Linked DNA regions of Arabidopsis thaliana. The protein of the gene in region 2 purifies or fractionates together with the protein of the main gene of each other region. This does not show direct contact. Each region holds a gene or a part of one and is shown on either strand. Other genes may lie near its edges. The genes, in order: Tic22-III and Tic32-IVa.

Region 1 (5,402 bases), on a different chromosome or scaffold from region 2:
AAACTTCCCATCAGAAGGCGGTGTCTGCGTGTGAACATGCGCATAGAATCAGAATTTTCACAGAGCAGAGTTTATTCTTACGGGAAAGTAAAGAGAAACAGAACTCACATTTGAGAGCCAAAGTTGTAGGTCTTGTGAAACCACTCTTTTCTCAAATCCTTGCCGGTTGATTTTCACAGCTTCTATTCTGCAATATAGAAATGAATATTAGTTACACACTGGAACCAAAATGTTATGCCTGAAACATAGATTCTATAAGTAATGCAATTAACAATATCCAACTCATCATGGGTTCAGAAAAAGTATCAGCCAGCAATAGCTATTGACATGTATATATTCAATCGCAAATCGAGGAGTGAACAAATCTAGTAGAGTAGAGGTGATCCTAGTCACTTATAATAAGCAGATATTATGCAAAGAGCTGACTAGGACTGCATAGTAAATTTAAATTATAAAATGATATTGTCTATATACCCATCTTCCTTTAAAAGCTCTTCAAGTATTGTTTCTAGCCCTGGAAGAGGTTCAATTGTATCCCCATTGTTCGAGCTTAGCGAAGGAGATCCAGTAGAACTGTCCTGTAACAATATTCAATTATCTATTAAAAATCACTAAGACCCACAAGAGACAGAAAACACATTCATTCACATTGTTTTACCTTCAAAATCACTTTGTCTAATGTTTCTAGAAGAGGATCATCTTCTAGTTGTTTGATGGATAGTGTAATCCTTGATTTCTCTCTGCATTGGAACAACTTTTGATTAAAAACTATATCATGAGTCATGGCTAATAAATTTCAGTAACCAAAATAAGCAACTCACTTGTCAATATTCGTGACTATAACCCGAACCTCGTCACCATCGCGTAGTACATCCCTAACATCTTGAACGTAATCCCATGATACTTCGGAGACATGCACTAGTCCAGTTAAATGATAAAGACCTATACACCACCACCCCACATAACTGACATCAATGTCATAAGCTCAAAACAAGAAAAAGAAACCAAGAAATTTAGGTAAAAGCAAATATACCATCATCAAAACGCAAGTGGATAAAGGCACCATAGTCCTCAACAGAACCTACTCTTCCGTTAAACACATCCCCAACATTAACGTTTTGTGAATACTTTGGCCATAATGCTAACTTCTCAGATAAAATCAACTTTCTATTTTCCTCATCAGCTTGAACAACCTAATATAAAGATTTACCTCAAATTATAAACAATATAGAGATCACAAAACAAGCCAAAGGAGAAAACTTTACCTTTACAGGAAGTTTAGAACCAACCAAAGTCTTAGCTATCTCATGAATACTTTTCTGAGGCTCTTCATAAAGCAAAACACAAACCATCGATCAATGTAAAAATCGATACTTTAAGGACATAAACATAGAACCTTGTGAAGAAGAGAGAGTTTTGGTTACCTTTACAAGAACGGGAAGGACTTAATTGTGGATAAGGAAGAAAACCCACAAGAGAATGAAAACGAATAAGTAAGCCACCACCATTAAAGCCTTGAACTTCACCTTCAAATGTATCACCACTTTTACAATAAGCTTTTGCTGTTTTCCAATCGCTTGGTCCTGCAGCTGAAGCTTCGTCGGAGGTATCACGGAGAAGAGAATTGGAAGCGGAGAGGACTGAGGAAGAGGCTGATTGATCGGAGTTTCTATCGGTATCTGCTGTGGCGGAGCTTGAGAAGGATTTGACTATGCAGACGAGAGAGTTTCTATTGGAAGAAGAAGAAGACGAGGAAGGAAGGAGTCTAAGTGGGCAAGAGAGGAAAGTGGATTGTTGGTCGAAGAGATGAGAGGCGAATGAAACAGAACCTAAAGTAGTAGCGCCACTAAAAACCGCCATTGTTGCGCGGTAGAGCAAAAAAGCCACGGAGATTGAAGGTAATGATGGTTAATGGATTTTGCCATTTTGGATAAGAAAGTGAGAGACTGGAGATGAAGGTGACGTGGCATTTGTCAGCTCACAGGTGCTATATTTTAAAACATATAGGATCAATTTGTAAACATTGGATAATTAGAGGGTTTCTTTACAAAAACAATTCTAATTCAAGCAAAGAGATCAAATCTTTTTCCTCAGTGTCGTCGTCTTCTTCGCAAAGCCTTTCAAAAACCCTTCACTACTCTTTCTCAGAGTCTCAAGCATCATTTTCCCGAGAAAACTATGAATTCAAACATTTTCCCACCATCGAAACAACAAAACGAGCTTAATAATATACAACAATCCTTCTCAAATCTCCAATCTCAATGCTCCAATTTACTCCTCAACGTTTCACAAACCCTTAATCCTCTCTTCAACGCCAACACGAACAACAACAAACCTAATATATTCTCTGCTCTCAATTCGTTTCGTGATCAAGCTAAGCAAGCTTTAGATTCTAGAATCTCTCGATTCAATTCTGGTAAGGCACCTGTCTGGGCGAGAATTTCTGACGACGGTGGTGGTGCGAGGGCTCAGGTGACGGTTCCGATTCGCGGAAGCGGGAAAGGATTATCTGCTGATGCTATTGAGGAGAGATTGGCGGGAGTTCCTGTTTACGCGTTGAGTAATTCGAATGAGGAGTTTGTGTTGGTTTCAGGGACTTCCTCTGGGAAATCTCTGGGTTTGTTGTTTTGTAAAGAGGAAGATGCAGAGACTCTTCTTAAAGAGATGAAGAGTATGGATCCTCGTATGAGGAAAGAAGGTTCAAAAGTTGTTGCTCTTGCTCTTAGCAAGGTATAAGGAGGAATCAATAACTCAATTAGCTCCTTTAGTATTCTTCTGTTTAGTGGTTTTGATTTTTGTGTGTGTTGTTTGTTGCAGGTGTTCCAGTTAAAAGTTAATGGTGTGGCATTTAGGTTGATTCCTGAGTCTACTCAAGTGAAAAATGCCTTGAAGGTGAGTTGATTTTACGATCGAACATATCTTTGGATACTCAAAAACTTTTCTTTTTGTCACGGTAGGCGTTAGACCTGCTGAATATGACTGTCATCATTCATTAACGAGGAGCTTTTGTGTTAATTTAGTTCAGGGGCATTTTGATTACTTCAGTGGTTTATTGTAGCTCTGTTTCAGCGACTATAGATAAGTCAGTTAGTTAGAGAGGTAACTGATTAGAAGGAAGTTGATGCAGATGGAGAAGGGATTCTGGATTGGTCTAGCATTGGTTTGGGCTTAGGAGAGTTGAGGGTGCTTTAGAATTCATCATTGGTGCTTTGATTTGGTTTGTTCTCAGTTCTGTATGTGGATTCAGAGAGTGAGTAAATAAAGAGAGAATACCTTTTCTGCGTCAACAGTTGGTTTTCTTTAGGAGTACACTAATTGCATTCAGTTTTGGTACATTTTTACTCAAAGGTGGTCGGGTTAATTTGCAGGGTATAGGTCTTATGGATGTAATCCTTCCTAGATGTACGATTATGTTTCTGAAAACAGACTGTAGCATTTGGTTAGACACAGTACAAGTAAATTATATATCTCTTCTATATGTGTATACAGGAAAGGAAAACAGCTGGTATCGATGATGATGACTTCCATGGTGTTCCGGTTTTCCAGGTAATATGCGAAAGAACCAATACTTTTAATGGTTGTGACTAGCTTTTTCGTTTTTACTCTATCTAGTGGTCTGTAATATAGTTTCGGATATTTATCTACCATGGAATCGTAATAATCATTATTTCTTCCTTAAAATGGTCGAGACATGTTTTCCTTAATGTCCAATTTTCTTAACGATCTGACTTGTGTTGTCTCAGTCAAAGAGCTTGATTCTACGAAGTGAAAACATGAGTTATCGCCCTGTTTTCTTTAGAAAGGTTAGTTAAACTAACAAGACACAGTTCACCTTTGTCCATACACTGATTACATGATCGGCAAGCTTGAGTCTTGGTTGAGTTTTGACAGGAGGACTTGGAAAAATCTCTAATACGAGCGTCCAGCCAACAGAACCGACTTAACCCTGCTCTGAAACCAGGCGATATTCAGGTTCCTTGTTATTTAACTTTAGTCTCCCTATTTCTTGTCAATCCATAATTCTGTCATCTCATATTGAAATTCATGATTTTGTATTCCAAAGGTTGCAGTTTTCGAAGATATTGTCAAGGGAATGAGGGTAAACAATCAAACATGATTCTGTAATGCATTTTCCTTTAAGAATGATTGGTTTTGCTGAACCTGTTTTCCCGGGCGAAATTGCAGGAAAGCACGACGTCAAACTGGGACGACATTGTGTTTATACCGCCTGGTTTTGAGGTTTCAACTGAGCAAACACAGGAGTAAGTGAAATCCTTGGAGCATCGTAAAACCTCAACACAATGCTTCTCCCTTTTCATATTCCTATCTCATCATTCAACAACTTGATGAACACAGCGAGTTGGAAATAGCGTTGATGATGTTAACTCCATTAACATCCTTCTCCAATCTCTGCTTTTTCTATGTCATCTTATGAGTTTTTTAGTGACATCTTCGCTTTATGTTTACTATTAGTACTAGAAGAGTAGCTTGTACTAATAGTCTAATATTACTGTCATGTCTTAACATTTAAGTTAATTTTTGTTAATTTGCATCCGTGACCTAAGTGGGAAAGTGGGAAACTATGCGTCAACTTTTGAAAAATTGTGATTGACTAGATTTACCTATCAATATCTTAACAAGGTCCATGTAAAAATCGTGCAAACCCGCATTTGATTAATCATCTCTCGTATTTTTCCATGATTTGTATATATTGACATGTTCAATTCGAAAATCCTACATATCAGCCGCAACTCGTATATTAAACTACGATTTTGTCTATTTTGTTGACCAATAAATTTTACTTATTTGAAATTTATTATTCTAATTTAATATGAAAATCTATTTTTAGTGTATATCATTTATATATAATCATAGTTTTAGACAAAAATATATTTACTTATTTCAGCTCAAAAAAATACTAAAAGTTTCTGCATAAAAAAACTACTTTTGATTCAATTTTTGGTGTCATGAGGTGTGTTACCTCGTTTGTAGTTTTGTGTATTCTCATGTTCCTTGTGGTAAACAATGTTAAAGGTAATACTATTAATTTTCTTATAATTTTTTTATATATTAGGAGTTATGCAAATATTGATTATTCCTATCAAACTTTGAAATTCTTTGTTTATCAGTATAGTTTAGTTAAATATTTATCTGTGGTTTTTTGAAACAGTAGATGTGAAAGCACAACGAAGGAAACCTGTTTGTAAATTGACTGGTGTCCTAAACCCTGGAAAATGTCCCACAGCTATACATGATGCAAGCAACTTGTGTAGTCGCAAATTGGCTTCACCTAATATGACATTTAAGCGTTGCGACTGTCAAAACACTGAATGGCGAGGGAAAGACCACTATCAATGCACATGTTATATAAAACTCCCTTGCAACCAATAGCTCAAATACCA
Region 2 (5,207 bases):
TGGTATAGGTGTAGAAACAGCTCGTGTTCTTGCACTGCGTGGTGTGCATGTGGTTATGGCGGTGAGAAACACTGGCGCCGGTGCTAAAGTTAAGGAAGATATTGTCAAGCAAGTCCCTGGAGCTAAAGTTGATGTCATGGAGTTAGAACTCAGCTCAATGGAATCTGTCAGGAAATTTGCATCTGAGTACAAATCTGCTGGTCTTCCACTCAACCTCTTGATGTAAGCTATTGAAATATCGTGGTTCATCTATAGCCGTTTGGATTTATTGACGTTTATGTTTTGACTTGTCTCAATTTTGTAAGCAACAATGCCGGGATTATGGCATGTCCTTTTATGCTCTCTAAGGACAACATCGAGCTGCAATTCGCAACCAACCATTTAGGTGAGTATGATAACCAAACCAACATTATGGCTTTGTCCTACATTTTATATAATTAGTTTCTAATCAGTGCAACGGTTTTTGTAATCCAAATACATTTCAGGACATTTTCTGCTTACCAAACTTCTGTTAGATACAATGAAGAACACATCACGTGAAAGCAAAAGAGAAGGAAGGATTGTTAACGTATCATCAGAAGCTCATCGTTACTCGTACCCAGAAGGAGTCCGCTTTGATAAGATCAACGACGAGTCAAGGTACTAATGGTGAACCAAATAGTATAATTCTCCGATCCCATCTTTTCTTCTAAAGCCAACATTCTTCCTTGATTTGGTCTCCACATGCAGTTACAGTAGTATACGTGCTTATGGACAATCTAAACTCTGCAATGTATTGCACGCCAACGAGCTTGCAAAGCAACTGAAGGTAAACTACACTAAACAAAGCAAAGATATAGCAAATCAAGAATCTATGTTTCCATGGTTATCTTCAATTCTGGTATATGATTAAAAACAGGAAGATGGAGTCAATATAACAGCAAATTCACTTCATCCAGGAGCCATTATGACAAATCTATGGGGCTACTTCAACTCCTATTTGGCTGGTAACTTCTTTTCTCGGATTCAACTCTCATCACTCCATGTTTCATAAGGTTACACTCAAAGTAAACAAACGCATACATATATTTTGAGTCTCTTCTGATCTCTCTGTCACCGGCTTAATGCAGGAGCTGTTGGTGCAGTGGCTAAATATATGGTCAAGTCTGTTCCGCAGGTATGCATCTAATTTCTGAACCTCACACTAATAACCAATCACTTGCAAACTTGTCACTAGGTTTCTCAGCTTAAGTAGGAGAGAATGATACAGCAGTCTAGCTTTACGGATTGATTTGGTTTTTGTTGGTAATCTGGTTTATAATGTCTGAGTATTCGACTTGGTAGGGGGCGGCAACAACTTGCTATGTGGCATTGAATCCACAGGTTGCAGGAGTTACAGGGGAATACTTCTCAGATAGCAACATTGCTAAACCAATAGAACTTGTCAAAGATACAGAATTGGCGAAGAAGCTTTGGGATTTCAGCACTAAGCTTACTGATTCGCAATGATGATTACCGTTGCAGTAGATAGTTGTTCAGGGAACCTTTACTTTCGATGTCTCTATTGTGACAATACTTATTTCAGTCTTTATTGATACAAAATAAAATGTAAAAAACAAATCTGAAATCATTTCCATTTCAATTCTGCAAAAAGATGGTTTATCCAATTTCAGCCTAAACAAAAGTGTTACTTATCTGTTTTCTCATTGACTCAAAACAGTTGTCTAGTGAACTAACTCGTAGACATAAGTAAGTAAGAAACCAAACAGAAAGAGCTTAAAACATCTTCTGATTTTGGAGTTAACTCATGTTATTGGTGGGAGCTATTTTAAGGACATTTGTTAAATCCTTTAAAAAGAAAGTTGTTAATAAATCCCCATCATTTGACTTTGGAGATGCACTATTCTACACTTCAACCTCAACCTCGTGAGACATGAGGATTAAAGTAAAGTAATCACATTTCTGTCACATATGAACAAATAAAGTTATTTAAATCAGAATAAAAGCGAAATCGCTTGACCACTCAAGAAGAGAAAAACGCTAACAAGTCCCATAGTTTGTGTTTATTGGACTTCTTTCCTCTCATCTTCTCCAGCAGAAACAAAAAAAGCTGAAAGATGTGGTTTTTTGGATCGAAAGGAGCATCTGGATTCTCGTCTCGTTCAACTGCAGAGGAAGTCACACATGGTGTTGATGGGACTGGTCTCACTGCCATAGTCACAGGTTTTCTTCTATCAACACTTTCATGCCATTTTGCGACATGGGGTTGTCTAAAGTTGTAGACTTTTTTTCTTATAATTTCCAGAACTTTTGTCCTCTCTGATTCTGTCTTCGAATTGATTTCATATCTAGTAAAAAGACTTGACTTTTATTGTTTAGACAATTGGAATTTAAGGTTTTTATCATCAGGGTCTGTCTTTGATTCGGTCAACTCTAATAAATATTGAGGTCATCACTGTTTCTTGTTCGAAAGTTGTCTTTTTTTTCAAGAATTTGGATTGAAAATTCCATGTTTGGTGAATTTTAAAGTACAACAAGTTTGGGACCATATGTATAATTGCATGTTAAGGGAAAATAACTCGTCTCTGTTTCAGCTGCTTGTAAGTTGTGTTATATATCACAACTCTATACAATTCCTGGCCAAGGGAAGAAAAAATACAGATTTGCTTGTAGAAATCGTTTCTATATTTTGATCATATTACATTAGGGCCTGAAACAAGAACAATGGAGTCCTTGAATTGATAGAACCCTGTTAGGTGACACTAAAGACTTGCACATACATATTTGAGTGTAGCATCGATTGGGCAAACCCTGAGTCAGCCTAATAGCCTATCAGGGTTTGAAAAGGCTTGGAAGAGCTTAACTGATCATTGGTTGATACAACTTTAAAAAGTAGTCTAGCCTGCATTGAGTTTTCTGGACATGTTTGGTTCCTTAAGTTTTCTTGTCTTTGTGTTCATATTTTCAGGAGCATCAAGTGGTATAGGAGTAGAGACAGCGCGTGTTCTTTCACTGCGTGGTGTGCATGTGGTTATGGCGGTGAGGAACACTGACTCTGGTGCTAAAGTTAAGGAAGATATTGTCAAGCAAGTCCCTGGAGCTAAACTCGATGTCATGGAGTTAGATCTCAGCTCAATGCAATCTGTCAGGAAATTTGCGTCTGAGTACAAATCTACTGGTCTTCCACTCAACCTCTTGATGTAAGCTATTGAATACTGTATATAGCGGTTTTGATTTATTGATGGTTAATGTTTTGAATTGTCTTAATCTTGTAAGCAACAATGCCGGGATTATGGCATGTCCTTTTATGCTCTCTAAGGACAACATCGAGCTGCAATTCGCAACCAATCATTTAGGTGAGTAGGAGAAGTAAACCAACATTATGTGGCTTTGTTCTAAAGTTATATACTTAAGTTAACATCATCATTAGTTTTTAGTCAGTGGCATGGAATTTGTGATCCACTTTATTTCAGGTCATTTTCTGTTGACTAAACTTCTGCTAGATACAATGAAGAGCACATCACGTGAAAGCAAACGAGAAGGAAGAATTGTTAACCTATCATCAGAAGCTCATCGGTTCTCGTATCCAGAAGGAGTTCGTTTTGATAAGATCAATGACAAGTCAAGGTACTAATGGTGAACCAAATAGTAATTCTTCTATCAAAATCTAACATTCTTCCTTGGTTTGGTCTCCGTTGCAGTTACAGTAGTATGCGAGCTTATGGACAATCTAAACTCTGCAATGTGTTGCACGCCAACGAGCTTACAAAGCAACTGAAGGTAACTAGAAAAACAAGAGATCTATCAAATCAAAATCTATGTTTCCATGGTTATATTGATTCAAATCTGGTATGAATAAAATAGGAAGATGGAGTCAATATAACAGCAAATTCGCTTCATCCAGGAGCCATTATGACTAACCTCGGGCGCTACTTCAACCCCTATTTGGCTGGTAACTTCTTTTCTCTTATTCCACTATCATCACCCCATACTTCACAAGGTTACACACAAGTAAACAAACGCATACATATACTTCTTCTGATCCTCTCTGGCATTGGCTTGATGCAGTAGCGGTTGGTGCAGTGGCTAAATATATACTCAAGTCTGTTCCACAGGTATGCTTCTAATTTCGAAGCCTCACACTGGTAACCAATCACTTACAAACTGGTCACAAGGTTTCTCAGATCTTGCTTAAAGGATAAAACTTGGTTTTGTTCCGTTATGTGGTTTATAATGTCTGAGTATACGACTTTGTAGGGAGCGGCAACAACTTGCTATGTGGCATTGAATCCTCAAGTTGCAGGAGTTTCAGGGGAATACTTCCAAGATAGCAACATTGCTAAACCATTACCACTTGTCAAAGATACAGAATTGGCCAAGAAGGTTTGGGATTTCAGCACCAAGCTTACCGATTCACAATCAGGAGAAAGCAGTTCTTGAAAGTAAATGATGTTCAGTGAATCTTTACTAATGGTTTCATGTTTCAACGTCTCTTATCTCTACTGTGACAATACTTATTTCAGTCTTTATCAAAGGAAATAAAAACGTATAACAAATCTGCAATAAGATGGTTTATTCTGACCGGTTTAGTTCTAAACCTTCACCAAACACTTATCAGAAGAAAATGTAAAAAAGCTTTGTAATCAAGTATCAGAAGATTTTAAAGACAACTTTCGAATTCAAAAAGAAGAAGAAGCCACGAGGAGACAATACTGTCAATGCATTATTAAAGTGATGGTCAGAAATGAAAATAAAAATCAATGATGATAGTTTTCTAGTTTAAACTCACTTTATTAATGGTTTCATTAGGAAGGTTAAGTAATTAATTAATCTTTGTGATTGGAATTTGGATCATAACGTGCAAATTGTCGATATAGAGTGTTATAGATAGGCTCTGTATTTAATTCATTTCATACCCTCTATATATAATTGTCGGTCGTTAGATGGCATTTGTTTTTATATTTATTTGATTTGGACCAAACAATGCTATTAATGATATGCATTGTATAAATTTCAAACTATAACGAGAGCAAATTTCAATGTAGGTTTAGGACTATATATGTTGATATTTAACAAAAAAGAAAAATTCATCTTAGGGTGATAAGATTGATCACTAAAGATTATTGAAATGTGGCCAAGTACTAGAGTACTACTATTTGTGACTATTTTACAATTGTTCACAATCATATCTATTGTACGTACAAACTATTTGCAGAAAAATCACATGC

What was found.
Region 1: the proteins of Tic32-IVa (region 2) and Tic22-III purify together in Arabidopsis thaliana (affinity purification with western blotting, with the first as the bait; one study listed by BioGRID). This does not show direct contact.

What each region holds. Positions count from the first base shown.
Region 1 is NC_003074.8:8,531,883-8,537,284, forward strand, and holds Tic22-III (Tic22-like family protein), read left to right. Parts: upstream 1-1,965; 5' UTR 1,966-2,178; coding exon 2,179-2,730; intron 2,731-2,817; coding exon 2,818-2,892; intron 2,893-3,489; coding exon 3,490-3,546; intron 3,547-3,743; coding exon 3,744-3,803; coding exon of another isoform or gene 3,804-3,812; exon of another isoform or gene 3,813-3,891; coding exon 3,892-3,972; intron 3,973-4,063; coding exon 4,064-4,099; intron 4,100-4,185; coding exon 4,186-4,266; 3' UTR 4,267-4,659; downstream 4,660-5,402. Other genes in the region: AT3G23700 (Nucleic acid-binding proteins superfamily), read right to left, coding at 1-24, 109-187, 475-578, 659-740, 822-942, 1,034-1,193, 1,266-1,327, 1,425-1,860; SCRL13 (SCR-like 13), read left to right, coding at 4,968-5,034, 5,171-5,391. UniProt on the Arabidopsis thaliana protein: Involved in protein precursor import into chloroplasts.
Region 2 is NC_003075.7:12,227,075-12,232,281, forward strand, and holds Tic32-IVa (NAD(P)-binding Rossmann-fold superfamily protein), read left to right. Parts: upstream 1-1,828; 5' UTR 1,829-2,096; coding exon 2,097-2,202; intron 2,203-2,947; coding exon 2,948-3,179; intron 3,180-3,255; coding exon 3,256-3,335; intron 3,336-3,452; coding exon 3,453-3,606; intron 3,607-3,680; coding exon 3,681-3,759; intron 3,760-3,843; coding exon 3,844-3,931; intron 3,932-4,047; coding exon 4,048-4,094; intron 4,095-4,236; coding exon 4,237-4,419; 3' UTR 4,420-4,644; downstream 4,645-5,207. Other genes in the region: AT4G23420 (NAD(P)-binding Rossmann-fold superfamily protein), read left to right, coding at 1-222, 306-385, 486-639, 730-808, 899-986, 1,110-1,156, 1,324-1,488. UniProt on the Arabidopsis thaliana protein: Involved in protein precursor import into chloroplasts. Part of the redox regulon consisting of TIC32, TIC 55 and TIC62.